2 linked regions of the Arabidopsis thaliana genome follow. The protein of the gene in region 2 interacts with the protein of the main gene of each other region in a pairwise test. Each region holds a gene or a part of one and is shown on either strand. Other genes may lie near its edges. The genes, in order: GLR2.9 and PUP3.

Region 1 (17,693 bases), on a different chromosome or scaffold from region 2:
TCTATAACGAATGGATTAAAAAGAATATTTGACGATCTTTTACCTTTATAAAATGCAAGGTTTTAAATAAAATTTACTCTGGTCACCAAAAACCTTATTTTCTAAACTATTTTTGAAAACTTCATCATATCTTGGACCTTGGTAAATTAAATACTTTAAACTAACGTTATCTTTAGTCAATGAATCACTTAAAATTGACGTATATGGTCGTTCGTTGTGGTGAAAGGGCTGCGTAGTGGATAAGTTGGAGAAGGATCTTTAAAATATAAATCAAATGACATTTGAAGATTAAAATAAAAATAACTTAGTCCGTGACATCCCTAGAAATCCACGTACGCATATACGAACCTCAGATCACTGCAAAATGCAGTAGCCGCTTCGCTGGAACTCCTCAGTTATTCACACTTCAACGTTTCCTCTTCCTTAAGAAACTTCCCTTCGTTTTTTAAAAGTCTTAATATTATTCGTATAATCATCTATTCATCTTTGGTCGGTGATCGCATAATGATGAAATTTTCTTAAGTTATCGTCGTCAGTCTTTTTTCTTTTTCTGTTTCTTTTTGGGTTTGATATTAAGTCTTATGTATATTGTTATAAGAATATAAATGTTCTTACTTTTATTTGTAGACATCTCTGTTCTGATGTTACTTGCTTCACAAACTTTAATTAATAGAAGTGCGTTTGATGTATCTTCTTTCAAATATTGAGTAGGCAAGCACTGAAAGATGAATTCTATATAAATCTATAATAACAATTTAATAAATAAAATCGTATTAATTTTCATGGAAGAATCTATAATTTTTTTTTGGTAAATAATCATCTATAACTTCTTAATGTAGTTTTGTAAAACATCTATCTCTATTGTTCAACTCGACATTCAATATCAGATTCTCCATCTTCATGATGTATTATCGGTTGCGTAGTGAAGCGTTCTTCGCTCGGGCTAAATGACACTCTTCTTAGCTCAAACTCTCTGTTTTGTGATGGGCTTTGTGGCCATGGTGTGATTTGCACAGTTGAAGGGCTCGGAGTCTTGTGAGTCATAGGTGAACTTATATTATGAATGGCACTGTTCTTGAAAGTATGCGAATTCATGTCTTTCTCATCGAAGATTTTGAACAAGAACTTTAGCTTTCTCCACAAGGAATCCTCGGAATCATCACCTAGAGTGTGCCTATGTTCGTACAAGAAAAGAGCCACGAAGACGAGTAATGAAAAAGATATAGCAGTGCCTGCTATTAGAAATAGACCCAAGAAGCTACTGAGGTTGAGACGGTTGGACGAAAGAGCGGTCATTGGATCAGGACAATCATTCTTTTTCGGGAACCATCTGTCCTCGATTTGTTGCGTTACATTGTTTTGTGTCAGATTCAAGATAGCCCTTGAGAATTCTCCCGTCAAAGGTGAATTCTTCGGGAATGCCTACACATTGATCATGGAAACAAAACATGTGTTATTTGTCCCCTTATTTTGTAAAAATACATAGAAAGGAAACAGAAGGTACTTACAAAGCCAAAACCACCAGTCTTAAATGTAGGTTCAACCATGACATATTTAGAGCAGGATTGAGAAAGGATAGCCTTAAGGTAAGCAACTTCGTCGAAAGCTGCTGCGATACCTTTTGATTTCCCCTTGGACAAAAGGTCGTCGGCATCTTTGGCAGAATCAAAAGGCTTTAGCTGATCTTCATGAAATCCTAGCCCTAATAGAATATCTTTAACGAAAGCACCACCTTGGTACCCTACACAATCCCTATTTTTGATGAGATCGTTTACATTTGTGACCGTCGGTTGCAAACTTTGTACCGTGAGGAAAGAGGTGAGACTCGCTGTGTAGCTCTGAGTGAGAACAAGCACTACAAAACACCAGACAACCACCACAAACCTTGCTAAATTGCTCACTACATTCTCACCTATATACACATGCACAAGTTTTCACTTTATCATTACAATCATAAAATAAGTTGAGATATCTAAAAAATATTGACAATGTAATTATGTTTGGAGATAAAAGCTACAAAACGTAAATATTTATCATTATTAGATTCTTGATTGGTGTAAGAACTTACGGTGGGCAAAAACCATGGTGGAGAAGGAGAACCATAAACTAGTGCCGATCTGGTACTGAGGCGGTCCACGGAAGTCGGTGTTGACTCTGTGTTCGAATAGCCACACAACAAAACCAATGAAGACGAAGAAACAACCGGTGGTGACCCATAGCTCTAAGCTCCAAGGTTCGAGGAACACCCATGTGTCCTTATTCTCATTATCTCTCACCGGCACCATCATAGACACTCCTGACTCTGTGAACGGTAACGTGAAGTCAGCGTACAAAGATCTGTTCGCTGTGATGGTTATATCTCCAACAACTGCATCCCATGTCTGCTTCATATATTAGTATAATGTGTTATAAATCTAACATCTAAAAGACATAAAATTAGGGAAATGGTTTACAATATGATTTTGTGAATGTTTAGAATTTTTTGTTTGTAAGTAGAAAAAAAGAAACTAACCTTGTCATATACTTGGTAGACCAAATTGTTGTAGTTATTTGGAGACTCAAAACTGACGTACTCAGGAATGACTAAATATGGCAATTCCTTAAGAGCAGCTTCAAAGATTTCTATGGCATAACCGGTTGGGGTCTTTTTGTTAGTGATCGGATTTATGGTTACCTTAACAAAATCAAAGAAGCCTTTCTTCATTGGAACGCCCACTCTAAGCTTCTTCCCTGGAATCTCCCATCCTTTTGGAACAATTTTTGACTTCCCTGGCCATATCACTGGCCCCAACGTTTTTTTGTTTGAACTTGTTGCATCCATGAGTCCATCTCTTGGTGTCCAAAATCCAATAATCCTCTCTTCATTTCCGACAAAATTTATGATCTCAAACTTTGGTGACTGGAGCTGCCCGTCTATGAGTTTAAACTCTCCTGCCAAACCATTGAATCTTACCTCCGAGAAAGCCTTTTGAAGACTTGGACCATAGAGAGAGACCCCTACGTTCCCCAAATCTGTCCTATTTTTTGACAAGGTGCTCCCATTATCATACCATAAGCTCTTTGTGTTGGCTTTCTCCACAGCCTTAGCCAATGCAGTAATTGAATCATATGCCCATAATGCAAAAACGTTTAGATCATCTCTCATCGATGGATTCTCCTTCTCAAATGTTCTTTTCCATCTCAAACGGAAATCTCCGAGCTCTTTCGATTTGGGGACATGGCTCCTCACACCTAACACGCCCTCTATAGTATTTAAGCTACGACCATTGTTTATATGTCTCATCATATGCGTCATTCCATTGGTCATTAACCATACATACCCTTCCTCCATCATCCCGATATCCCTAGCTATCTGAAAAACCCGTAAAGCGAGACTTGATTCCATGTGGACAACAAATACTCTCGCTTGCCTCTCCATGAGCTTACGAAGTTCTTTCTGAATCTCATCATCGATAGCCTCCGGAGGGATCACACTTCTCTTGACTTCCACGTCTTGTAAAGCGTCAAACAAGAAAGGCATGAATCCTTCACCAAACTCGTTGTCCACATAAATTGCGACGACCCTTCTCCACCTAAAGAATTTGAAAATGGACGCAATGGCCCTGACCTGGGATGAGTCGTCGATAGTGGCTCTGACGAAGTAAGGGCTTTTGATGGATGTCAAAAGAGGGCTTGTTGCAGAGAATGTGATGGTCGGTACTTGAGTTTTGTTGGCCAGTTTGATCATAAAATCTGCTTGCATAGAGTTTATTGGTCCGATGATGGCGCTCACTTGCTCGGTTTTGATTAGGTCCAAGGCTGCTTGCACCACAAGCAACATAAAGAAAAGAAGAAAGGTTAAATATCCTCTGTTTTTGGATATAATATCTTCCATTTTCAATGGAAGAGTTACAACTTATAAGGCTAAGCCATGTTTGTCGAGTCCAAAAGAGCTCTAGTTGCAAAGTAATAAGACAATATTAATTTACATAAATAGTTAAAATTGTAGAGGTATCATAAGACATGTCACCAATAGTTTTCGACTATTCATCTAATATATTAAGACTCATGAGTTAAATATAATTAACGAGACTAATAGTAATCAGGATTTCTGCGACCATACAACCGTCACCATGAATTTCTAGAAGAGAAAAAAATTGGACTTCTCTATCAAGAGATTGCTCTTACCATAGACATTAGACCACATAAGAATACACTTGGTTTTTGAAGTATAGTCTAAAAGATAAATCGTCACCAAGACTCTTAGCATATACCCCCATATGATACTTTGATTTTTAATACTGATCTAAAATATTGGTCACATTCAATAAAATAGTAATTAGCTAAACCATGTCTATACGTAATATGTTTCATTCAACCGCAACTAATAAGTAATAAATCAAAATGACGGGAAGCTGAAGCAAGACATAGAGAAGTAACGAACCTGCAGCTGAAGCCTGAACAGTATCTTCCATGGAATCTCTAACGTGAAGCGTAAGTCTTGTGAGGTAATTTGGATGATCCGCGTAGAAATCGGACACGGCCATCTTTATAGAAGTGAGGCAGATCTTGGAAAATGTTGTATTGAGATCAAGAACTACTCCTACTTTGATTTCACTTGTTTGGTTTTGTCCTAAACCAACCCCCATCAACAAAAAACCGCAAACAAAGTAACTCAAAAAGGTGTTATTAGTTTTCATCATCATAATCGCCCCAAAACTGAGGAGACTTTATGTGATTCTTTAACTTACTTTTTTCCTGTTATATATATACAGTGGAAGGATCGGTTTGAAAGATACTTATAATCAATGAAAGACTTTGAAATACTATGCCAAAAATTGGTTTCTCAACGAAAGAGACATATCGATTTTTTTTTAAAAAAAAGTGTGTTGACTAGAAATTAATAAAACTGGTTTGAAAGAGTCAAATGAGGCTTTTGCAGATGAATTCTCTTTGAAAAGCAAACTACAAAATACCCATAACTTATTAAATAACCAAATCGTCTATTTTATAAAATATAAGGATCGCAATTCTTTCTTTTTTTTACTTTTAGTATTGTAATTGACATATTATAATATCATAATTGAAATAATTAAGAGTTAATTGTGCAAAATAAGATTCTTAACCCTTTTTGAGATCTATTTTTGAGGATAGCCTTTCTGAAGAAAAAAACTAATGTTTTATACATCCATCCCATGCTAATGCACGAGATAAATACTATTGTAAGCTTTTCTTATATAAAAAGAATATATACATTTTATCCAGATTTAATGGTAAATTTAAATATTATAATTTTTTAATAATTGTTTTGGCCAACTTTAAGAATTTTCAAATGTGTTTTGCAATAGGAATTACAATAATCGAAATAGGTTAGAGGTAATATTTGGAAATATATGTGTTTTAAAGAGAATAAGAATAAGCAAAAATGTGTTTGGGAAATGTAATAGGATTAAATTAAAAAAAATGGTTGAGAATAATTATATGCTTGCACACAAAAACACTAAAAATAGCTTATATATGTAGATATGTCCATACAATTAACGCAAAAAAATGCAATGAACCGTTTTTAAAGAATTCTTAGAAATAAAATGTATCAAAAATTGTCGTACTACTATAAAATAAATAAATGTTTTATAGAAGAGTGTATCTTGTAGATATGTGTACTTTGGTGGAATTAGCATACAGAAATTAAAAAATATAGGGTAAGTGAAGTGAGTTTCCCTCCAAGATTTTTAATTTTATTTTTTACGAGCAGTCGGAAATTAACGGAATTTTCTTAGTTTGGATTTATTCAGATTTAGTTTGTTCAACTATGCCATACACAATATGATTGTCCGTTGTAGAACAACATTCTCTTACGCATGTTCGAGAATAGGTCAAGAAGACGTATAATATGGGCAAATCGAAAACAAATATTCGTCAACATTATTTTTTCCAAAACAATGAAAATACATTAATCCTAAATTACAGTACATGATTTTGGATATAACTGAAGAATCTACATTTACGTGGGTGATGACGACATAAACAATTTTTTATGGTTGATATACAATAGTCTAATTTCTTAAAATTCTGTTGTGTTGAAGAATTGATTAAATTGAAATGCATTTGGTCCGATTTAAGTCATTAAAGGGTAACTGGAGGACGTTGAGTTGTTTAGCTTGGGTTATAAAGCTAAAAAAGTCTCCAATTCGAAGAGAGGGTTTCGCTAAAGGACAACCACTTCGTGAAAGGCAGTGATTGCTTTTACATAACTATGTGTACCTTTATCTTTCTTCCTCTGTTACGCTTCTTCTTGCTTGAGATTGTGATATTGTAGAGCTATGAGCATTTGCAAATAATGATATAGTAAATTATTGGATCTTTTGGCCGAGATGTAAGAATCACGCATGGTGGATGGATCATGAATGACCAGAGCCCTCTTTCACGACCCTGGTTGGGAATGGATGCGAATAGTTATCCTCGTTTATTTGGAACTAGGAACTTTCCTTAAAGTCACTTGCCACTATGTACATATGAAGTTTTTAGAGTTGCTATATTTTTGCAATGCAATCCTATTAATATAAACTTTGTTATAAATAAAAGAATAATAGCTTTGTTAGGAATATATGCAGCGAACTTAGCTTATCCTATCTATAACTTGTTATGGAATCTTCTAAACTTATCTCTATTGTTCAACAACACATTCAATATCAGATTCTTCATCTTCAAAATGTATAGTTTGCGTAGTTAACCGTTCTTCATTCGGGGTAAATGACACTCTTCTTAGTTCAAACGCCCTGTCTTGTGATGGGCTATGTGGCCGTGGTGCGATTTGCAAAGTTGAAGGGCTCGGAATGTACTGAGTCATAGGTGAACTCACATGATGAACAGCGCTGCTCTTGAAAGTATGCGACTTTATGTCTTTCTCATCGAAGTTTCTGAATAAAGACGTTAGCTTACGCCATATCGAATCTTCGGAATCATCACATAGTGTATGCCTATTTTCGTACAAGAAAAGAAACACGAAGATGAGTAGTGCCAAGAATGAAGCAATGCCTGCTATTAGAAACAGACCCCAAAAGCTACGAAGGCTTAGACGGTTCGACGAAAGAGCGGTCTTTGGATCAGGACAATCATTTTGTTTCATGAACCATTTGTTCTCGATGTGTTGCATTTCATCTCCTTGAGTCACATTTAAGATAGCCTTTGAGACATCTCCTGTCAAAGGTGAATTCCTGGGGAATGCCTACACATTGATCAAGGAAACAAGCAATGAATACTCGAACTGTCTTTTTTTTTTTTTCCTAGTTTGAAATTTTCATATATAAGGGAAAAAAAAAAGAAACTTACAAAGCCAAAACCAGCAGTCTTAAATGTAGGCTCAACAATGGCATATTTGGAGCAGTATTGAGAAAGGATAGCCCTAAGGTAAGCAACTTCGTCGAAAGCTGCTGATATACTACCATTGGACAAAAGCGCGTGACATTCTTCGGAAGACCCAAAAGGCTTGAGCTTAGAAACATTAAATCCCTCTTTTATTAGAAAATCTTTAACAAAAGCCCCGTGTTGATAGCCTACATAGTCCCCATTTTTTATGAGATCTTTCACATTTATGGCCGCTGGTTGAAAACGTTGCACCGTCAAGAAAGAGGTGAGATTTGCTGTGTAGCTCTGAGTGAGCACAAGCACCACAAAGCACCATACAACCACCACAAACCTTGCTAAGTTGCTCACTACCTTCTCACCTATATGCACACACACAAATTACTTCATCATTAGGATCTTGATTCTTGTTAATAAAAAAATTATCACATTGAAAATAAGTTGACATTTAATATATAAACAATGTAACAATAGTCTCATTTTACATAATATAGTTTTCAAAAGAAAGTTAACATTTATCATTATTGGTGTAAGAACTTACGGTGGGCAAAAACCATGGTGGAGAAAGAGAACCAAAAACTAGTGCCGATCTGGTGGTGAGGCGGTCCACGGAAGTCGGTGTTGACTCTATGTTCGAACAACCACACAACAAAACCAATGAGGACGAAGAAACAAGCAGTGGTGACCCATAAGTCTAAGCCCCAAGGTTTGAGGAACACCCATGTGTTCTTATTCTCGTTGTCTCTCACCGGCACCATCATAGACACTCCTGACTCTGTGTATGGTAAGGTAAAGTCAGCATACAAAGATCTGTACGCTGTGATGGTTACATCTCCAACAACTGCATCCAAAGTCTGTTTCATTTTTAATAATTTGTTAGAGATCTAATATATTATAAAAAGACATAATCTATTATATCTAAGACTAGTTCAGTCTACTCATTGCTAACTGCTTTTACATAGAATTGCTTGCACTTTTAGATTTTATTTAAGAAAAACAAGAAACTAACCCCGTTATCGACTTTATAGACCAAGTCATCGTAGTCATCATCCGGAGACTCGAAACGGTAGTATTGTGGAATGACTGAATATGGTAACTTCTTAAGAGCAGCTTCAAAGATGTCTATGGCGTAACCCTTTGGAGTTGTTATGTTAGTGATAGGATCCGTGATTACCTCCACAAAGTTGAAGAAGCCTTTCTTTACTGGAACACCCACTTTAATCTTCTTACCATTAGTTGGAATCTCCCATCCTTTAGGAACAATAGTAGACTTCCCTGGCCATATCAATGGCCCAAACCTCTCCCCTGTAAATGACGTTGTTTTGTTTGAATTTACATTCACAAGTCCATTGCTCGGTGTCCAAAATCCGACAATTCTCTCTTCATTTCCGACAAAATTTATGATCTCAAACTTTGGTGACTCGAGCTGCCTGTCTATGAGATTAAACCTTCCTGCCAGACCATTGAATCTTATTTCCGAGAGAGCCTCTAGAAGACTTGGACCATAGCGAGAGACGTGTAGCGTCCCCAAATCTGTCATGTTATTTGACGAGCCACTCGCATTATTATACGGAAAGCTGCTTATGTTGGTTTTCTCCACGGCCATGGCCAATGCAGTGGTTGAATCATACGCCCATAATCCAAAAATGCTAAGATCATCCCTCAGCCATGGATTCTCCTTCTTGAAATTTCTTTTCCATCTCAAACGGAAATCTTCGAGCCCTTTCGATTTGGGGACATGGCTCCTCACACCTAACACGCCATCTATAGTATTTAAGCTACGACCATGATGGATATGTCTCATCATATGAGTCATTCCATTGGTCATTAACCATACATACCCTTCCTCCATCATCCCAATCTCTGTAGCTTTCTCAAAAATCCGTGAAGCAAGACGTGATGCCATGTGGACAACGAAAACCCTAGTCTGCCTCGTCATGAGCTTATAAAGTTCTTTTAGAATCTGGTCATCGTTAGCCTCCGAGGGGATCACACTTCTATCAACTTGCACGTCTTGTAAAGCGTCAAACAAGTAAGGCATGATTCCTTCACCTAACTCGTTGTCCACATAAATGGCGACGACACTTCTCCATCCAAAGGATTCAAATATGGCTGCAATGGCTTTGACCTGGTATGAGTCATCGATAGTGCCTCGGACGAAGTAATCGCTTTTGATGGATGTTAAAAGAGGGCTTGTTGCTGAGAATGAGATGGTCGGTACTTGAGTTTTGTTGGCCAGTTTGATCATAAACTTTGCCTGCATAGAGTCTATTGGTCCGATGATGGCACTCACTTGCTCGTTCTGGATTAGGTCCAAGGCTGCTTGCACCACAAGCAAACCAAAGAAAAAAAACATGTTAGTATTTCACTAAATGTAACAGCAGTAGTTTAATATTTGATGATAATTAATGAGACAATAATAATTTGCACAAGAATTCAAATCTTCATTGTATAGGTATCACATGACATGTTACCAATAGTCATTGACTAGTTATTATTCTAATATACTATAATAACTCATGAATTAAATATTTTAAAGAGGCTACTAGGAATAGTAGTAAGACTTTCTAGAAAATAAAGAAAATGAAGAGATTGCTCTTACCAAAGACGATCCTACGTAATATATTTCATCCGACTGCAACTAATAATTAATAAATCCAAATGATCCCTTACAAGTAGCGGAGAAGCAAAAGACATAAAAGTAACAAACCTGCAGCTGAAGCCTGCACAGTGTCTTTCATGGAATCTCTAACGTGAAGCGCAAGTCTTGTGCGGTAATTAGGATGGTCTTTATAGAAATCAGACAACGCCAGGTTAATAGAAGTGAGACAGATCTTCGAAAATGTTGTATTGAGATCAAGAACTACTCCTACTTTGATTTCACTTATTTGGTTTTGTCCTAAACCAACCTCGAGCAACAAAAACAAACAAACAAAGTAGCTCAGAAAGGTGTTATTGTTTTTTTTAGGGTTCATCATTATCCAAAGATAAGGAGACAGACAAGTTATGTGGTTCTCTAAAACTTCCCTTTTTCTGTTATAAATACAGAGGAAATAAATAGGTTTGAAAAGGTCTTGGAAGACTTTACAATGCTATAACAAAATTGGTACTCATCAAGAAAAGAGTGATAAAATAATAAAGATTAGTGTTGACTAGAAAAAAATAAAAAATGGTTTGATTTAGTCATGAGACATTGCCGAAGATGTTTCTCGGCAAAGCAAGGCTACAAAATTTCTATTATACGAGTTATATAACTACCTTAATCATTGAGGTACATGGTTCGTGATGATTCAAGTTAAAATTTGTACTTCAGTTGGAAAGATTGCCTAACAATTCCGTTATGAAGGCTAACTCTGTCTTGAAACTTCACAATGTGTTTTTCTTTCTTTTAAGTGCAAGAGTAATTTAAAAAAATATATTATTTTATCATATTATTAGTGCAAGGATATTTGTATTAAAACAAATTTCGTTTGTTCAACGCGTTTTTGGGTATGCCATATTTCACATCAAACACAATGTATTGGCTGTTGGAGGACCACATTTTCTTACACGTCTCGGAGACATGAAGACGTATAATGTGGGCAGATCCAAAACAAATGTTAGTTTTGTCAACATTTGGTTTTTCCAAAACAATGAGATCGAGAAAGACATCCATGTCAAAAGATTAATAGTTTTTTGTGTTATTTTGCAGATTATAAAATTTTGCGTTATTTTCATAATCTCCCTAATTTTTATATAACTCAAAAAGGAAGAAGATTAGAATCCAAATTCAGAAATCTAACTATGACATTGAGTTTGAAAACAAACATAGGAATACAAGTGTTGAGAAAAGAAAGTACTCCTAAAAGAAAGCATTAACCACACTGGCTAACTTGTTATGCACTTTAGCAACTTCTCTCTATCATTCACCTTCACATTGAATTATAGCAGATTCCTCATCTTCAACTTGTTCTGATTGCGTAGTGAAAAGTTCACCGCTCGAGATGGAAGACACTCTTCTTAGCTCTAATTCCCTATACTGTTCCGGACTTCGCGGCAATGGAGTGCTCTGATCGGTCAAAGGGCTTGAACTTCCTTGAGTAATAGGTGAACTCACATTATGAACGGCATTCTCCTTGAACATATGCGACTTTATGTCTTTCTCATCAAAGTTTCTAACCAAAAATTTTAGCTTTCCACGGAAAGAATTTTCGGAGTCATCAAAGAGCGTGTGCTTGTGTTCGTACAAGAAGTTGGCCACGAAGATGAGAAGTGCCAAGAATGAAGCTATGCCTGCTATAAGAAACAGACCCCAGAAGCTACTCAGGCTGAGATGGTTGGAGGACAGAGAAGTGTTTAGATCTGGACAATTATTTGGTTTCTTAAACCATTTATTCTCAATATGTTGCATTTCTTCGCCTTGTGTCACATTCAAGATCGCCCTTGAGACATCATCCGTCAAAGGTGATTTTTTGGGGAATACCTACACAACGATCATGGAAGAAGAAAATCAAAGCAATGAAAATACCTATATCATCAATATACGTACTTCTTTGGCTGTATCTAGTGTAAGGGTAAAAGAACTTACAAAGCCAAAACCAGCAGTCTTAAAGGATGGTTCAACCATAGTATATTTGGAGGAATTCTGAGAAAGGATAACTTTAATGTAGGCCACTTCGTCAAAAGATGCTGTGATTGTCCCATTGGAAAAAAGCTCGTCACATTCTACGGCAGAACCAAAAGGTTTGAGCTGTGATTCATCAAATCCTTGACTTTTCAAAAGTTCACGCACGAAAGTGCCCCGTTGGTACCCAATATTTTTGTTAAATTTTATGAGATCTTTCCAATTTGTAACCGTTGGTTGCAACAGTTTTACTGTGAAGAAAGATGTGAGATTCGCTGTATAGCTCTGAATCAGCACAAGCACCACGAAGCACCACACCAACACCACAAACCTCGCTAAATTACTCACCACCTTCTCACCTATACACGCAAACAAGTTGTAAGTATATCATTATTATCTTGTTTCTTATTTTGGAACATCTTATTGATAATAATTTGAGATACAATATCTACTATATAAAAACCGTATTTAGAGTTCTTTCATCATCTGCCAATTTTTGTAACATAAAGTCGGAAATCTTGCCGGTTAAAAGTTTCTATAGTGACCAAGGTTGAACTTTAATGATGATCATAGAAGATGGGACTCGTTTCCTAGCGGTATCCCACAAAGAAGAATAAACTAAGACTCGAACAAATACCACTAGGCTATTCCGACTTAGTTCTTGATTGATGTTACTTACGGTGGGCAAAGTTCATAGTGGAGAAAGCGAACCAAAAACTGGTGCCTATTTGGTGGTGAGGCGGTCCGCGAAAGTCGGTGTTGACTCTATGTTCTAAAATCCACACGATAAACCCAATGAATACGAAAAAGCAAGCAGTGGTGACCCATAGGTCTAAGCTCCAAGGTCTGAGGAACACCCATGTGTTCTTGTTGTCCTTGAGGGGTACCATCATAGACACTCCAGACTCTGTGTACGGTAGCGTGAAATCGACATACAATGACCTGTTTGCTACTATGGTTACATCTCCCACAACTGCGTCATAGGCCTGACCCGAATGTTAATGATATGTTAGAAATCACATATAAAGAAAAAAGACATGATCCACGGTGAAAGTTAAAGTAAAAGTAAAAGAACCATAGTAGAAATAGACGAACTAACCCCGGTGTATACTTGGTATACCATTTCATCATAGTTCTCATCTGGAGACAAGAAAGCAATATATTTAGGAATGACGGAGTAAGGCAACTTCTTAAGAACAGCTTCGAATATCTCAATACAGTAACCCGTTGGGGTCATTGCGTTACTGATCGGATCTATCTTTGCATCCACAAATTCTAAGAAGCCTTTCTTCACTGGAATGCCCACTCTAAGCATCTTTCCGTTTGTTGGAATCTGCCAACCTTTCGGAACATCTTTCGACTTACCGGGCCATATCACCGGCCCCAACCTCTCCCCTAAAACCGACGTAGTGTTTTTTGACTTTGCATTAACAATTCCATTGCTTGGTCTCCATAATCCAATAATTCTCTCTTCACTTCCAATAATATTGATGACGTCAAACACTGATGATTCTAGCTGCCCGTTAATGAGCTCAAACTCTCCGGCTAAACCATTGAATCTTACATTCGAAAGAGCCTTAAGAAGACTTGGACCGTAGCGAGAGACCCCTAATGTCCCCAAATTTGTCTTATTATTTCCTGAAGCGATCGGATGATCATACCGCAAGCTCTTTATATTGGTTTTCTCCACGGCCATTGCTAAGGCAGTGATCGAATCATATGCCCTTAACGCAAAAATGTTCATCTCTTCATCATTCCCCTTCTTAGGAAACATTTTTTCCCATCTCAATCTGAAATTTTTGAGCTTCTTCGATTTGGGGATATGGCTCCTTACACCCAAAACCCCTTGCATATTCTCCAAGCTGCTACCGCGTTCATTAGATTTCAACAAATTCATCACTCCATCTGTCAATAACCATACATATCCTTCCTCCATCATACCAATCTCTCTAGCTTTCTGAAAAAAACGAAAACCGAGAGTTGGTGGCATGTGGACAACGAATACCCTCGTCTGCATCGTCATTAGCTTATAAAGCTCCTTGAGAATTTGATCATCATTAGCCTCCTGAGGGATCAAACATCTATTGACTACAAAAGCTTGCACGTCTTGTAAAGCGTCAGTCAATAATGGCAATATTCCTTCTCCGAATTCGTTGTCCACATAAATGGCAACTACATTTCTCCACCCGAAGGATTTGACAATGGCCGCAATGGCTTTGACCTGGGATGAGTCATCGAGAGTGGCTCGGACAAAGTAAGGGCTGTTGATGGATGTCAGAAGAGGGCATGTTGCAGAGAATGTGATGGTCGGTACTTGTGATTTATCGGCGAGTCTTATCATGAACTCAGCTTGCATAGAGGTTCTTGGCCCGATGATGGCGCTCACTTGCTCGTTCTTGATTAGGTCCAAGGCTGCTTGCACCACAAGCAAACAAATAGAATAAGAAAATTATAGAGGTTAAATTTATCACTAAATAGTAAATTAAAATTTATCAGATTTTTGGGAACTAATGAGTGAATTAAAATTATCATACAAATAATGTTTACGCATGAGTTAAAATGAAAATATCAAATGTGTCTTACTCTATATTTAGCACTTTATTATGGTTTATTATTTTATAAAAATATTGCAAAATTTAATTTGAAAAGATGCTACTTTGTAACCTATTTTCCGTCCAAAATCATTAATCACACTATCAACGTAATGTTAAAAGTTAATTGTATTTTACTACCACATCCATATGCTACGGAAAGTCATATCTTATTTTTTCTATTTTAGTTTTAAACTTTTAATAAACAATAATATATCAAATTATCGAATTAAACTATTCAGGAAATCAATAATTGATTAATCTTTTAGTGTGAGACCCTCATTTCACCACCCACTGTTAGAGTCCGTTCGCCACTTGACATATAACCCAGTAGCACCAAAATCCTTATCCGTCATACATAAATGTCAAACAACCAAACAAAAAAAGTGACAAGAATTGCTTCAAATTAGTAGAAAACAAATTTCTACCAAACCATAGATTTGTAGCAAATTTGGGGAAAATAATAATTACCATGTTCATCATTAATTATTTAGTTTGTTTTAAAATAAATAGTTAGGAATTGATTACCGGCATAAATTCATAGCTACTGAAACGTTTTATTTTGTTAAATTAGATATTGTAGTTGCTTGTCTGAACCCAATAAGGTTGATAATAGCTATGCATATATGGCTACTATATATGGAAATAGCCTAAATTTTGAAGCCATGGAAAAGATTGGTCAGACTAAAAGAAAATAGTAGCCCTTAGATATTAAATCATGTCTGGCCAAACGCTGTATTATATTCGTAATTAAGTAGAGCGTACATGTTTCATCCAACAATCAACATAAACTGATAATAAATCCAAATAAAGATGCAAGAGACAGAGAAGGAACGAACCTGCAGATGAGGCCTGGACAACATCTTCCATGGAATCTCTAATGTGAATCGCAAGTCTCGTGGTGTAATCAGAATGATATTTGTAGAAATCGGACAACGATATGTTAATGGAAGTGAGGCAGAGCTTGGAAAATGAAGTATGGAGATCAAGCACTACTCCTACTTTGATTTCAGTTGTTTGGTTTTGTCCTAAACAACCCTCCATCAACACAAAACCACAAACGAACAGGACAAAGTAATACATAAAGGTATTATTAGTTTTTCTAGGGTTCATCACTTTCATCCAGATTGAGGAACTTTATGTCATTCTTTAACTTCCTCTTCTTTTTTATTGTTCTATTGCATATATACACACACACACATACATATATATATATACATATATAGAGATAAAATAAAATATGAAAACAAGAATGTAAAAGAAAACAAACGAAGTTAAGGTTTGAAAGTGACAGAAAAAAATTGTATGGACGATAATATGAGCTCGCTTTTTGTCATTATTCTCTACCATTGTCACTCCTTTTTTTTAGGCTACATACGTTTACTTTGAAAAATCTCCAACTTCAGTCTTCTTACTTGTTTGACGGAAGATTAATATTTTTCTTCCAGCTAGCAAGACCGTTTCATACACATAAAAGGTCATAATCGAGTGATTTTACGCTAGTGAATATCCTACTAAGAGAGAGAGAGAAAGAAAATGCCAATTGTAAGTTGATGGATCATCTCAGAAAATGTAACACGAACCAAAAACCTTTTTGGAAAATTACTATATTATTTTTTTTGTAGTGAAAATTTTATTATTAACAAATGTCTAAAATTTGCTTAATAGGTTCTGACCGGATCGACGAGATAAACCGGGTTACAACCCGGTTGCAATTTGGATCAAAGCTAAAAAGAGATGGCTTCGGTTGTGTCATGGACGACGATGGTGATCGGAGAGGGGCTTTGGTGGTGTTGGGGCCGAAGGTGGAGGTCGAAGAAGCTTCTGTCCGTTTTTAAGAGAGGTTTCTAGATGAGTTTCTTTTCTGCGATAGATTGACATATGTATACGAAAATCAGCCATAAATCTCTACCAATAGCTCACATACCCATGAAACATCACCTCCATTGGAAATCTATTTCAATTTCCTATAACCATTATAAAGAGGTCCAAAGCTAAATCTCAATGAAAGAACTTCATCCGAGTCGATCTTTGAGAGACTTCAGATAGGTTATGAATCATCAATTCTCTTCTTTGCATTTAAATGTGTGTCCTCCATTATTTTAACATGAAATATCTCAAAAGAGACACAAAATACACACAGTAACTATAGGACTTCTAAAATGCAAGAAGACTCACTTGGACACTAAATGCAACAAACCACAATGAAAATACTAATGAAACACCATAAAATGGATCTTAATAACCATGATAAAGTGCTAAATATAGAGTATATCATGGGTTATATATAGATTTGAGAAGAGACTAACACACAAAAATATGAAAATAAGTCAGTAAAATTAGCTAAGTAATCAAAATGCTTCAACAACTTTTGAAATTCTATTTATCATTTAGCTATACATTCTAATTGGGGAGTGAAAAATTCTTTGCTTTCAAAAGATACACATCTTGGCTCAAACTGCATATTTTGCGACGGACTTCGTGGTCATGGTGTGATCTGCACTGTTGAAGGTCTTGGAGTGGTTTGACTAAAAGGTGAACTCACATTATGAATTGCACTCTCCTTGAACATGTGCGATTTTCTGTCGTTTTCATCAAAGTTTCTAAGCAAAAATGTTAGCTTTCTGGAAAAGGAAATTTTCGATTCCTCATTTAGCGTGTGCCTATGTTCGTACAAGAAGTTGGCTATGAAGACGAGATGTGCCATGACTGAAGCAAGGCCTGCTATTAAAAACAGACCCCAGAAGCTATTAAGGTTGAGACGGTGGGACGACAATGTTGTCTGTATGAGGACAATTTTGATTCTCAAACCAAATCTTTTCGAGCTGTTTCATCTCTTCGCTTTGAGTCACATTCAAGATTTCCCTTGAGACATCGCCCGTCAAAAGGAGAGTTTTTTTAGTGCCTTTTTGTCAATCCCCCTTTAAAAAAGTTGCATCTATTTATATAGATTCGTGTCCTTTTTCTCCATATATTTTTATTTTATTTTATTTTTTATTACTTTTTGAGTAAGATGTGACTTTTACAATCACATTTGTGTATGTAAACATTTTTGTCTTCTTAAATATATCCTATATTTTCTCTTCTTAAAACTATAGAATTAATGATACGCATCATTTTGAGTTTGAAATTTTTAACAAAAGTCTTAAGTTATA
Region 2 (14,851 bases):
GCATGGTGGTTGCGGCGGCACCGGTGGGAATAGGCTGAGGAGGAGGAGGAGTGACGTCGGTAGGATCGAGCTTAGGGTAAGGAGCGTAGTCAGAGGAGTGAGCAGCAGCCTTGGAAGGCTCCGACGCGGCGGCGGGCGTAGAAGAGATCCGGCCATGATCATGATTCTCTTGCCCACTCATGATTTGATGTTTTCTTCTTCTTCTTTCGAAATGAACTTTTTATTTTTTTGGTTTGGGTTAAGTAATGAAATAAGAGATGGTTCGAATCTCGCAGGCAACAAATAATAATTGAATTAAAATGTCTGTCCGCGTTACGTTGGCATTATTAATCGTAAATAATTTAAGTAGCCTCTTTCCCAAAGTCGGTCTAACATATATATCTCGTGCGGTCTTAAACAGTAGACGAAACTTAATGCAATTAGTTTCTGTAACGGATACTAGTATTCAATTATACCTTTCCTCTAGAACATATCCATAATCCATGTATGTACACCGGTTTTGTGCCCGTTTATCTTCCTCAAGAAATTCAGACCTTCTTCACTTACGATTTTTGTTTTAACTAAAAAATATCTTATTCTAACTTTTTGATTGCTTGGTTTATGTTTTTTAGTTTGGAGTCCAGACCATAATCCGTCCGTGTGTATTTGGACTGTAAAAACCCACATGCGGTCCACCCAATTGACAGTTCTAATCATAATAACAACAACAAAACAAGTTAGATTGTAACCGCTATTGATATACCACAAAAAATTGCTATTTTTTCCGATGAAGGTTAAGAGTGTCTTTATCATTTCGGACATTCGACGATAAAATTTTGTTGTGTTGAAAACATAGTTACCATATCAAAAAACTAGTTTTCATCCAAAAAGAAAAGTTGATTCACATTCTTCTTGATGGTATTTAAACGAATGACATTTTTTTGAAGTTTCATATAGCTCAAACACTCAACGGTTTAAATGAAGCTTCTTATATAAACCTCAAAATCAGATTGAACCTAAATGATCTTGGGAACTCAAGTCCGTATCCATAAAGCTTACTTTTTATAATCCAAGCAGCATCTAAGTTACATTTATCAAACCTTTTTCCAAATTTTCTAAGACTATATGTGTACAAGGATTTTATTCACAAAATTAACGGTGTTGAAGAAATTCTACAACATCTTTTTCCAAATCACTTTCAACTTTTAATTCAAACAGTTAACTTGTAAATAGTCTAACTCACTATTTTCTTTACCGCTACAAAATAACGACCGCCAATTTTTTACCATTTTGTTTTTACCGTTTCACTAAATTAATTAACTACGGAGAATGAGAGAATACGTGTTTAACCCATTTCGAGTCTTCTGAACCAGAGAGAGACTCTGGACGTAGTGGCGAGAAAGCAAAAGATTTAGCGAACGTCTCTTCTCTCGTCTCTCGTCAGCATATGCGTAAGAGCATCTCCATTGGTGAGATACTCCATGAGTACCTCATAATATATTATTAATATTTTAATTTAAGTAGAGAAACTTATACTAAAATTGTGCTTCCATTGGTGAAATACTCTTATGAGTATCTCATTAACATTAACATATTATTATATGTTTTTTATATTAAATTTAAAATCTCTACAATATTTTCAAACATATCAATTATTATTTTTACAATTATATTATTAAATAGTTTTATTATTTTTAAAACCATAATTAAACATAATTAAACATAATTAAACATTACTTTACATATAAAATCATAATAAAAAATATATCAATTAAACATAAAATTCCATATAAAACCATGATAACATAAATTAAATAGAAAAAATATATAAATTACACAGAAATTACATATAAAACCATGATAACATAAATCAAAACTAACTATATTATCTATTATGGTTTTACTCTTCATTTGATAATGCACCAAACTTTTGTCATATATGCTCAACTAGGTCATCTTTTAGTTGTTGGTGCATATCTCTATCACGAAGTCGAATTCGATTGCCAAAAATGTTGTAAAATAAAAATAGAAAATTTTAAATGTTTGTTTTCTAATTAAAAAAAAACTATTGTATTTATAAGTTATTATTATGTTTAATGCTTAACTAACACCAATTAAATAATATTCGTATATAATTTAAACATATATATAATAGAGCTTGTTATATAGATAATTTAATTTTATGAATTTTAAAAGTAAAAAAAAAAAAAAAAATAAACATATAAAGTATTTAATTGATGTTATAAAATATAAATGATTTTATTTATAACAAAGAAAAGAAATTAATGACAAGATGACATTTGGAAGAGAGATAAAATTTCTCCAAGTTTCTCATTTCAGAAAATATTCTAAAAAAAACTGATTAAAAAATTATTATTTTAATATTTTTGATTTATGTTTGTTTGGAATTTATCATGGAAATGGTCTAAGGGTTTAACTCTCAAAATCAAAAACCTCTCCGTTTTTTCCTCTCTGTTTAGCTTTGAATTCACAAGAGTCATGCGAAGATTCAACTGGGTTTGTTTTCTTCATCCCTCTCTAGATTTAGCTTCATCGTTTTCTTCTTCTTCCTTTCAATTTTGAAATTGAGTCCTCGAGAGAGCTGAAATCATTTTGTAATTTATGTTTATATCGTAGGTTCTGCGGCATGTACAAGCTCGAAGAACTTTTGATTCCGCGATCGGATTGCGTCAAGGTAATGTATAAAAGTTGTTAAACTAGGGTTATTGATTTCGTCAATTTTTGCTTGTTTCAAAAAGGAATCAAAAACTGACATTCATATGCTCTTCGAGGTTTATCGCCTTCTCTGAGCTGATTTAGGTGTATATGCAACAGACCAACGACAATGTCAAGTTTTTTGGGGTTTATTAGAATTTCTAATGTAGTGATAATTTTAGCTGAAATGGGGTTTTAGGGTTTATCAGGAAGGGGTATCAAAGTATTGGGCACTATTAAAGGTAACTCAAGAGTTGATTTTAAAGAATCGAAATGTAATCTCGAGGTCTCCGTGGTAGCTAACATTAGGGGCATGAGGGAATTTCCAGTTGATGTTTGTGTTTATCTACAGACTATAGGAAATATGCATTCATTACTTGGAAGTTTTGACTCTTTGCAGGGTCTCAGAAGCCGTTGTTCGAGCGATACATTCACGCTACAGGTCTTGTTTTTTTGCATTCACGCTAATGAATAAAATGATGTTTTGTATCATTTTATTCATTAAATGCTTTTGGTTTTGGATAATGGTTCTCAGGTATAAACAACTCCAGTGCTCGTAATTACTATGATGTTCTCGGTGTTTCTCCTAAAGCTACACGGGAGGAGATTAAAAAATCATTTCATGAGGTGAGTCTTTCGGCTCATTGTTAGTGGACTGTTCTTCAGCTTTAAACATTTTTTTACATCAAGCAAAAACTATTAGTAAAAGTTGTCTGCTCAAAATTGATGAGTGAATGCACAATTGTTGCAGCTTGCGAAAAAATTCCACCCTGATACAAATAGAAATAATCCGTCAGCAAAAAGGAAGTTCCAGGAAATAAGAGAGGCATATGAGGTAGTTTTTTCTTTTCCATCTGCCATCATCTGTGTATTTTGAATGTATCTTCTGATATACTTTTGTGTTGGATTAAAAAACTGTAGACCCTGGGAAATTCGGAAAGAAGAGAAGAATATGATAAGGTACGCTTTTTTGTTGTTTTTATTCTTATTTATCTGGTGGCGAGATCACTAAATATATTTCTTGATGTTATCACTCGATCCAGCTGCAGTATCGGAATTCGGATTATGTAAATAATGACGGTGGTGATTCAGAGAGGTTCAGACGTGCATACCAGTCCAATTTCTCGGATACTTTCCACAAGATTTTTTCTGAGGTACATTATTATGTTTCCCTTTTGCTCATCTTTTTATGTGATTAGTTAAATCTCTAACATTAGTAAACTTTATTCAGATATTTGAGAACAATCAGATAAAACCTGATATTCGGGTCAGTTTCTCTGATTCTCTCTTTTATTTATACAACTGGAATCTGGTTGACTTATATAAATCTTGTTGTGTAGGGCTCTTCAGTAATACACATGTTTATATTGTTAAAAATTGAATAGGTGGAACTGTCGCTTTCTCTTTCCGAAGCTGCAGAAGGGTGCACAAAACGTTTGTCTTTTGATGCATATGTCTTTTGTGATTCCTGTGGTGAGTGGCCACAGAAGTTTTCTTATATTGTCTCTTTTGCATTTACTAATATTGACAAGCCAGTCATGGCTCGCAAGATTTCCTGTAAAGATACTTGAGAGTATAGACACTTTAAATTAGGAGTCCTAACTCGTCATGGTACATTATTATTCAGTTGCCCAAAATGGTAAAATATTTTTCTTAACGAAGAATAGACTTCTGGAAATGGCTCTGTGATCCATCGATGTTAATGTACATGTATCTACAGTTTGTTGTCTCTTTTTTTTTTTTCTTTTTTTAATTTTATTCTTGTAACATTTACAGCCTTCTGTCTTTAAAAAGTTACTGATTCAGCCAACTTTGAGAGGACGAGTAAACTCAGTTGGGTGAAAGTAATATTGTTGCAAAACCATGAATCCCAATCTCGCATTGTTTATCATTTTACAGATGGGCTTGGCCACCCTAGCGATGCTGCCATGAGCATTTGTCCAACATGCAGGGGGGTTGGACGAGTAAGTACCATTTAGAGGATATAAGTTTTATTTTCTTTGGAGGGTTAATAAATCATACAATTTCTATTTACAGTACTATGCTGTCTGTCTCTTTAACAGGTAACTATTCCTCCTTTTACAGCATCATGCCAGACGTGCAAGGGGACGGGACACATTATTAAGGTTTGAGAAAAAGAGCTACTTTATTGACGCTTCAGTAGTTATCTCTCTGGCACTGGTTACGAGTATATATGTGTTTATTTCTTCAGGAATACTGCATGTCTTGTAGAGGATCAGGTATTGTGGAAGGCACAAAGACAGCTGAACTTGTGATCCCTGGAGGTTAGTCTAAATCTTCATGCTTTTGTTTATCTTTAACTTGGTTTTGATTCCAAACATGTCTGTCTGCTATGGAACGAGTAGCAAGATTTCATTCACTCTGTTACGTTCCTTTCTTTGAGGATTTGTGTGGTTTAGATGTAATCCAATTTAGATATCGGTCACACTTATTGTTTGACTGGCTTTTCTTTTTCTTTTCTAAGATTATGCTTGGCAATTTACATTTTCTGGTTAATTCTGTGCTTGGTATTTTGGGGCAAAGATGAAACAATGAATTTGGGATTGTGATTTCCGATTATCATCTTACATGACTTTGGTGGATTAGATAGTGAAATAGGTTTTTGATGACAAAATTCTGTCAAACTTTAATTTGCTTTCTTCTCTCTGTACTTGACCACAGGGGTGGAGTCTGAAGCTACAATCACAATCGTAGGTGCTGGTAATGTAAGTTCAAGAACAAGTCAACCTGGGAACTTGTATATCAAACTAAAGGTTTGTTAAAGCATCTGTATTTTCTTCAAATTTGTACTTGTATATTTTGTAAGACGTGCCTAGAGAAGTTTGAATCAAACTCACCCTTGACGTTGATGATTGGTCTACCATTTAAGTCCATTGATCAATTTAACCTAAGAGATAAAACAGTTAATATAAGTGGCAAAGTCATGTTATAAGTCATATATTGACTTTGAACGAATTCATTTCAAAAATGATCTAAACCAATGTTCACAGATTTATATGTGATTGCTACTCTACTTTGTTTGTTGCGTCACTATATAATCAAGACTTATTACATCCAGTGAATCAATTGTTCATGCTCTCTTGTAAAGTATTCTTCAATTCTATCATCATTCTTGCCTCATTTAGGGTCTTACTGCATGCTGAATTTTCCTTTATTGACACGTATCTAATCTTCTTTTGGTCACAGGTTGCTAATGATTCAACTTTCACTAGGGATGGCTCAGATATATATGTGGATGCTAATATTAGCTTTACACAAGTAAGCACACTGGTGAATCCTGAATTTTGGGTTATAAGCAGAGCAGTACCTTCGAAACTCATGTTTTTTCTGCATGGTGACACTTTGTGGTCAAAACTCAAAAGCCTTAACTGCTAGCTGATAAAGCTCTGCAGTAACATAATTTAGGCATGTCCTATGATAAAATAAAACCTCTTAGAGGACATAAACTAGAGAAAAGTTATCTGGAGTCTAGCTGAAAATTAATGAGTTTTGTCCTATTCAACTGGTTTATGTGCCAAAAGTTTACTAAACTACTAGGTTTAATAATATTAGCTAGTAGCATCTTTATCATTATGTATATGATGCGCTTATTCTCTAAACTAGATAATGTGGCATATCGGTTCAAACTCAATTTGATGGCCCCAGTCATAAAACTCAAGTGCATGCTACTGCACTATTTTGCCACCAAGCCATAGTACCTCGGCTGCAGTATTTTTCTATTATAGTGCATCCTTTCATCTCTTATGGTTCACGTTGTTCCTACTATTTCTCCCTTGAGCCATACTGGACATGTCTTAGAAAACTTATTTGACAGGCTATTTTGGGGGGCAAAGTTGTGGTGCCAACACTTTCAGGCAAGATACAGCTAGATGTAAGATTCGTCTCCCAGTGAGATTCATATAATATTTTGTTTGTTTATAATTTGAGTCAAGTTGGTTTTCATCCTCTGACCAAGAGGAAGGTTAGATCTCAAGGCTTTGGAGATAATAGAGGTACCTTATTGTAATTGTTGCAGATACCAAAGGGGACTCAGCCTGATCAACTTCTTGTTTTAAGAGGCAAAGGTACATATAATTATCAGCCTATATGTTCAATTTTTTTTGTGTATTTGCGTGTACTCTTCTTAATAGGTTAGTTCCTGCAGGACTACCGAAGCAAGGCTTTTTTGTAGATCATGGAGATCAGTATGTTCGCTTCCGCGTTAACTTTCCTACGTAAGATTTCTTTTACTTGAAGTTCAAGTAATACACTTGTTGGAGACATCCACATTATGCTATGCTAAAAACTCTACTAGTGTTTAGAATGGAAAAGACACTTTGTTGCTCTAAAGTTACGGTTTTTGAAATAATTTTCCTAGGACAACATTGTGTTAATTTCCCTGCCGTCTGATTATTAAATCTGATTACATAAGCTTCTTGATGTTCTGGTGGCATGTGGATGTGTTGGATTCTCTTCTTTTCATTTCCGTCAAGAGCTAATATTGATAGATTTCTGGTATATGCTTATGCGGTTTACTTTTTTCCTTGTATCTACTAGTGAAGTGAATGAACGTCAGCGTGCTATACTGGAAGAGTTTGCAAAGGAAGAAATCAACAATGAGTTGAGCGACTCTGCTGAAGGAAGTTGGTAAGTAAATTTTATTATTGTGTTTATAACAGCATATTGTGTGTAATATTAGATGGTTAGACGTAAATGGACATCTGGTATAATTCACCTCAAAGGAATGTAGTTGGTTACAATAGAAGAATTAGTGATGCTTATACATTACTGGTACATTTTCTAGGCCTGCTTAGAAATAAGAGTTAGAAAAGGCGGATATGTAGATAACAACAAGACATAATTGAAAAATGAGATACCTAGGTTCTCTTATAAGAAATAACTAGAAGCTCTAAGGGAAACAGTGTAAGAAAGCCAAAATGTCTGTTGGGGCTTTTTCTTTACATTTTGATTCAACTGAATGTTATTTCCTCACTAGCGATTGTTCCTTATAGTAATGAAGAATCATGAATATGAACCAAACAGGCTTTACCAGAAGCTCTCTACTGGTTGAACTTACAGGTGGAATCTAACGGGTCCTCAGATCATCCGCGACTTCTCGTTAATGGTGCTGCTGGCGCTATTGTTGAGCAGGTTAATGGGATGAAGCCACCACGAGAGATGAAAGATAAAAGCATTCAACAGAAGACAAATGAAGACTAATTTCATCTATTGCTGGTAGAACAAAAAGCTCACCAGCATAACAGAGAGTGTCATTGTTTGACCTCATAATTCTATTACAAACTCATTTGATGTGAATAATAAGAGACATCAAACAAGTTAAGCTGAAATAAAGAAAAGAAAAAAAAAAGTCCTTTAAGATTGTGTTTTCGGCATAATCCCACAAGTTTCTCAAACATATCTTCTAATCTACTTGGCGGAGAAATGAGTGCTATGATGTCTTTAAACGAAAAGCCATGCTTCGTTGAGTTTTAACACTCACTTATGGGTCTTGACAAAGAAGATTGTTCTGTCTCCTGACTCTCCTCCTGCTGAATTCTCCTTTTATCCTCGCCAGACTTTATCTCACCATAAAAGTAAGAGACAAAGCCCCAAAGGGAGAGAGCAAGAGAAAGTCCCTTCTCAGCTTGAAACTTTTCATGGTAGAATATAACAGCTAAAACCTCTGTAATTGGCAAAAGCACTGATATCATAATACCCGAGACGAGAGACGATGTGGAGAAGATTAATCCAATGGCTCCCAAGAAGAAGCCTTGCCATATGATGGCTGAAAACACAGCCACCACATAGAACAATGCCTCTCCAAGCTTGAACTCTCTTGCTTCTTTTGGTAAGGCCTGCAAAAACAGTAAAGGGCTCAAGTCTCTGTTAAAAACTCTTTTGTATGTTTTCAGATTCAAAAGAGTGACTAACCTTGAAATCACCAGCGATGAACATACCGATGACGCTGACAATAGAAGCAAGGAGACACAAAATCAACTGGAACTCGAGCACAAGGGTATAGCTCATGGTTTGCTTAGCTTTCTGGTAAGCAAGTTCCACTAATGGCAAGATGAAAGCATACATAACAGCTGCTGCTACAGTAATCAAGAAACCAGTTATGTACTGCTTGTGAGTCTCATGAACTGGCTTATCAGTTTCGGTATGCATTCCCAAAACCGCAGCACCAACAGTCAACAACACAACAGCATTGATGGTAAAAGGAGTGAACTTATGTTTAACCATGAAGAATGAGAAGATAGCTATAAAAGCTAACTGTGAAGCAATGATAAGAGCAGCTGTAGAAACTGGAAGATAAGCTATACCATATGCATACAAGTAGTTATCAAACCCTGAGAGAATGCCTACAATAACAGCGGCGATAAGAAGACGCGGTTTGATAAGAAAGAAACTTGTACTATCACCCACATTGTTGCTTCTGCGCCGGGTAATGTAAGAGAAGAGCAGAGGAATGAAGATAACAGGAAAGCCTGCAGTTTCAAGAAACGTAGAGAACCAAATCCTTTTACCGCCATTGTTGAAGTAGAGACGCATAATCAAAGGACCTCCACAGTTTCCTATGGCTAGAATTATGCAGTTTATGATCACAAGAGCCTTCACCATTCTTGTCTGATTTCTTGTGGATAATGAAGGTTGGTGGTCGAAGGAGTTAGTTATAAGGTTTGGTGTTGCTGTGTTTTGGAACAAATTTGGTCCGGTTTTAGATTCTGTCGTGATAGATCTTTGTGTTTCTTTTTACCTAACGAGGCTTCAATGGCTAAAACATGACTTTTCCTATTTTATACCCATAAATTTTGCTAACTGTTTAATTTCGTATAAAAAACGTAGTAATTATCTTATAGACCAGATAATATCATATCTCTCATATTAATTTACGTTTCCATCAAATTCTACAGTTTTGATTATTGGATTTATTTCTTTCTAAATTTAGTGCAATGACATTAAGATTTTCAGTTCATAATTCTCTCTATAATTAGAAGATTTTAAGGATGGTTAATTGGTTCTTTGACTCTATCTCTTTTGTTTTCTCTTCTTCTTTCTATATTAGTTCTTTGATTTATATACAAATTTTTATATTAAATAGATAAATTATATTAATCTTAAATTAAAAGTGTGAAATGTTTATTTTATAAAATCGATAAATAGGATGTGATTTTATCAAATACGAAATATCCTATCTTTTACTTATCATTATCATTCTATTTCTACTACAAGTGTATTAAAATTTGCATTTATCAAATAGCTCAATATCTTTCAAATTTATTCATACTTATACACAAGAACAATAACAAAACACACAATCACACATAATATTAGGAACAAAACATAACAGTAATGCTCTGTTATAATCCTATAGAGTTATAGAAATTAAGCAACATAATCACTAACAGGAAGAATAGGCAGTTCTGTCTCCGGCGGTTGAGGTTTATCAACAACTTTCTTGCCGGATTTAAACTCGCCGTAGAAGTAAGAGACAAATCCCCAAAGAGAAAGAAGTAGAGAGACACCTTTCTCTGCCTGAAACTTCTCCCGGAAACAAACGACGGCGAAAACTTCAGTCACCGGAAGCAGAACACTTATCAGAACACCAGAAGCTAGTGATGATGCACAAAACACAATCCCTATGGCTCCTAAGAAGAAACCTTGCCATATTATTCCTGTGATCACTATCAATGCATAGTAAAACACTGATCCTCCAATCTTGAACTCTCTTGCTTCTCTTGCTATCACCTACAAAACATGTATGATGATGATTTTAGTTGATTCTCAAGTTTAATCATAATTTTAAATAGATATGGAAATACAGGATAAAGGTTTGAACAATTTTTAAATAATGTTTCTAATAAAAGATAAGGAAGACAAATCATATATATGAAAGTTGGCCAACTCTCTCCATATGATTGACACATCATCACTTTAACATGTGCCATGTGTCCACATAATAATTAATGTAAGCTTTCAACTTTTAATTTATAGATTAATGATGTATTTATTATTTAATTTTACATATTTAATTGTACTAATACTAAATTTATTTTGTTATTACATGTTGTTCAATAAAATAATTTTATTGGTTTTCTCATACTCAGAAGATTTTTTTCTGTAATCTTAACTCAAATTATGAGTGTATAGTAGTCATGGATTAGTTAATAGTTTGAATAGTTTGCATATTGTTATATATCTATATAATAAATCGCCGAGGGTGAAGAGTATGTAAGAAATTTAATCATCAAATTCTTAGGTTTCGAGAATTCCAGTATTACCCTCTATTTAATTAGTTTAAGATGAACATTGTTTAGGAATTGTGTGTATAATGCATTGTTGAGAATGTTGTTAGAAAAAATATATTTTAATACTAAGAATAATTACTTATTACATAAGTAAATGATTAGATAATTAAAAATTATATTTAAATTATACGATACAAAAAATCTGAAAATACCGCAGCGTAGCGCGGGTGATTACCTAGTATTACATAAAACCTTATTGAAATTGTTAAATATTTTATAAATTGCTCAAACCTTTATCTTGTATTTTATATAATATTTGTTTTTAATAAAAGATCAGGAAGACAAATATTACATAAAATCACATATTTTATTATAACCAGGAAATCTATATTAAAATTGTTAAATATTCTATAATATCCATATGTATTTAGAAAATGTTTAAATACAGATACCAATATATCTTGGTTGACTAGTATAGTCTAGTACCAATGATTCTGAAATAATTTCTATATATATAATTGTTTCCATGGATTTTCTCCATTAATAATACAAAAGAACAAATCTTAGTATTCCTCATTTCTTGGGAATCCAGACTAAATTTTGGCCTCTATCATAAAATGAACAAAAAAACTATATAATTTAGAAAAACATTAAAAATAGAGAATCCAAAAACTCAGCTAAAGTCTTCATCAAAATCTGCATAATATTTTTTTTATCAAGATCATCCCATGATACTCTCTCTTATACTAAAAACACAACGTGAAAAAAACTGTAAATTTCTTACCTTAAAATCTCCAACGATGAACATGCCAATGACACAGAAAAAAGTAGCAGCAAGGCACATGACCATCTGAATCTCAAGCACAAGTGGGAAAGTGATTTCTTGACGAGCTTTCTTGTAAGTTAGCTCAACGAGCGGTAATATAAAAGCATAGAGAAGAGCTGCAACCACAGTCATCAAGAACCCAACCACATACTCTTTCTTGCTCTCCTTAGCCGGTTTGTCTCCATCACTGTGTAACGCAAGGATCCCGATACCAACCGTCAACAAAACGACGGCGTTTATGGAGAACGGAGTGAACTTTTGCTTGACTAACAAGAAAGCGAAGAGAGCGTTGAAAGCTAGTTGAGTTCCGATTATGAGCGATGAAGTTGAAACTGGCAGATATGCTAATCCGTAAGAATATAAGTAGTTGTCAAGTCCTGTGAGCAACCCTATGACAATGGAGGCGATAAACAGAGGAGTTTCCATGAGGAAGAGCTTTGTTTTCCGCTTGTTTTCCGCGTTGTTAGGGTTGCGGTTGCTGCGGCGACGGCTGAGGAAGGAGACCAAGAGAGGGATGAGGATGATTGGAAAACCAGCGGTTGATAGGAAGCTCATGAACCAGATTCGTTTTCCGCCATTGGTGAAGTAGAGACGAGTTAACAAAGGACCTCCACATGTTCCTATAGTGAGGATAATACAGTTTATGATTATCAAACCATTCTTCATCTTCTTCTTGCTGCTTGCTGTTTTTGTTGTCCTCTGTTTTGGCCTTTTTGATGATATTTCTCATCAGCTTGAGGGGTCAATGAGCAATTATATGTTTTTCATTTTGTGTGTGTTTTGTTTGTTTGTGGTTTTGGATCGTGTGATACATTGTCAAGGAAGTTGGGAAATTAAAACGGTGGGACATAACATAGCGGGCGCGTTTGCGATTTTAAAACGTTATACTTACTACTAGGGTTTGAATTTCCAACTAAGGATGGTCCTTTGTTTTATCGTGATAAAAAAAGAGACGTGTTATTTTCTGCTCTACATACATTGAGTATGACAAAAGAAAGAGTTGAATTGTGGAGATAGAAAAAAACAAATCGTCTCTCTGTGTTACGCTAAATTTTCGTTGTGTGTATAAAAAGCAAGAAAACAAAATTTCGAGAAGAAAAAACAGACGTGATTTAAGAGAAATATCTTTATACTTGGTTTTATCTTTAGATGAGGATATTGTTATAGAAAAGTTATCTTGATTAGAAATTTATCTTTAGTATCCATTTGTCTTCGTTTACGGACTATTGTAATCAATCATTTTGTCATATGCTTTAATACATGGAATGCTGACTTAAGCTATTTTGTTTGTAGACTTGATTATTATTTGTTGCAACTAGTTGTTTTGTTTTTATAGCTCCATTGTTGAACTCGCGTAGTCAGTCGTTGGCTTGAAAGAAGTGATTCAATTTATGGTTTCTACACCACTATATTTAACAAGGTTTCTACCCGCTAGGATACTAAATACATCAACAAATTAGATTTTAACCCGCGGTATACCGCGGAACGATTTATTTTGTAAAAGTAATATATATTAAAAGTTGCAAATTTTATTTTTATAAAATATTTACATTTTACAGTTTATAATTGTTGTTAAGTAACGCTATATCACGAATCAATGAGACAATTGTTAAAAAACTGAAGTTTTAACCCCTATTAAAACAGCATATTAATAATATTTTAAAATTTTTTAAATATTGATTCAAATACATCCACCATATAACCCAATTCCAAAATAAAATCTGTTCTGTAATTTCTTTACCCGTCCCGTGATAATTTTAAAGTAGTAATTTTAAAATTTTAAGAATTATTTTTTATATATAAAAGTTTTGCAAATTGTATCATTCTCTAATACATTTATATTTTATAATTTAATTTTATATATAGTAACATTATACATACCACATAACATTTTTGGTTTTATATAATCTTTTCTAAATTTGGATGATTTGATATGTTTAATATCAGTGGTCTTAAAAAATAATAAATTAAAGATTTAACCCGTATTGAAACGGTGGATTAATTATATTTTACTTTTTTATTAATGTTTATTCAAAAACCCGTCCCTCCAAATCCGTCTTACAAAAAAGCCATTTATTTTATTAATGATATGACTATGAATTATAATCTAAACATTTTAGCTAATAACATAGGAGTGCACTATATTTATTTATTACGGGAATGTACCTTATAACCCGAATGCACTTTTACTTAAATCCACCAAAAAAAAGTCTTGTAAAAATATTATAGAGATAATAAACGATAGTCGGTTTTGATAGGTATAAGATTAGCAAATATATTAGTTAGTTTTTATTAGTTAAAGAATACAAATTAAAAAGGTATATTACACTTTATTCAAATATAGTATCAAAACTTATATAACACAGAGATTTGATAATTTTTTAATTGTTGAATATTTTTTTTGTGCTAATTTTTATGTGATTAAGATTTAATTGATTTCGTATATAAAATTATTAAATTGTTTTACGAACTTATTTGTTTATAATTTGGTAACAGATAGATATTCGAATATTCAGAATATTTTGCTTCAGTTTAGGAAATCTTTGATGACCCGTTTTTAGATCCAATAAGCCCTATAATCTAGATATTAACCTGCAGTATACCGCATGTACGCTTATATTTTAGTTAAACTAAAAACTTTTACTGTAAAGATGATTTAAAAATATTTGATATTATTTTATTTGATTATAAATGTATAGTAAACTGTGAGTTGTATATGTTTTGTTGATATTATCTATATTGTTTAGTGTTTAAGATTATACATTTATAGTTTGATTGTTAATTTAAGAGTTTTACCTGTAGTATACCATCTTGTATTAATATCGATCTAAACCCGTAAATTATAGGATTTTCCACCTTGTATTAAAAATTGAATCACATCATACACATAAAAAAATCTAATATGTTATTAATTATTGTAGTATATAAGATTATAAATTTTCAATATAATATGTATGAAATTGAATATAAATATTTCAAATTATGACATGTTACTCAGTAGAAAGTTTTTTTAAATCTATTTTTCACCCGTTATAATATTTTTTCATGTATTGAACAATTTATATTCGTTTTTAAAAATTCA

The links.
Region 1: the proteins of PUP3 (region 2) and GLR2.9 interact in a protein complementation assay, tested with the Arabidopsis thaliana proteins (one large-scale study listed by BioGRID).

Annotation. Positions count from the first base shown.
Region 1 is NC_003071.7:12,500,234-12,517,926, forward strand, and holds GLR2.9 (glutamate receptor 2.9), read right to left. Parts: upstream 4,712-17,693; 5' UTR 4,686-4,711; coding exon 4,424-4,685; intron 3,799-4,423; coding exon 2,513-3,798; intron 2,382-2,512; coding exon 2,069-2,381; intron 1,913-2,068; coding exon 1,509-1,912; intron 1,423-1,508; coding exon 859-1,422; downstream 1-858. Other genes in the region: GLR2.8 (glutamate receptor 2.8), read right to left, coding at 6,647-7,207, 7,312-7,706, 7,886-8,198, 8,354-9,663, 10,055-10,322; GLR2.7 (glutamate receptor 2.7), read right to left, coding at 11,246-11,806, 11,912-12,306, 12,627-12,933, 13,047-14,359, 15,378-15,660. UniProt on the Arabidopsis thaliana protein: Glutamate-gated receptor that probably acts as a non-selective cation channel. May be involved in light-signal transduction and calcium homeostasis via the regulation of calcium influx into cells.
Region 2 is NC_003070.9:9,852,120-9,866,970, forward strand, and holds PUP3 (purine permease 3), read right to left. Parts: upstream 9,450-14,851; 5' UTR 9,316-9,449; coding exon 8,626-9,315; intron 8,550-8,625; coding exon 8,184-8,549; 3' UTR 8,172-8,183; downstream 1-8,171. Other genes in the region: FIP1 (FH interacting protein 1), read right to left, coding at 1-181; ATJ1 (DNAJ heat shock family protein), read left to right, coding at 2,479-2,496, 2,617-2,674, 3,095-3,136, 3,230-3,321, 3,446-3,529, 3,616-3,654, 3,738-3,848, 3,926-3,961 and 11 more; PUP1 (purine permease 1), read right to left, coding at 10,081-10,443, 11,728-12,435. UniProt on the Arabidopsis thaliana protein: May be involved in transport of purine derivatives during pollen germination and tube elongation.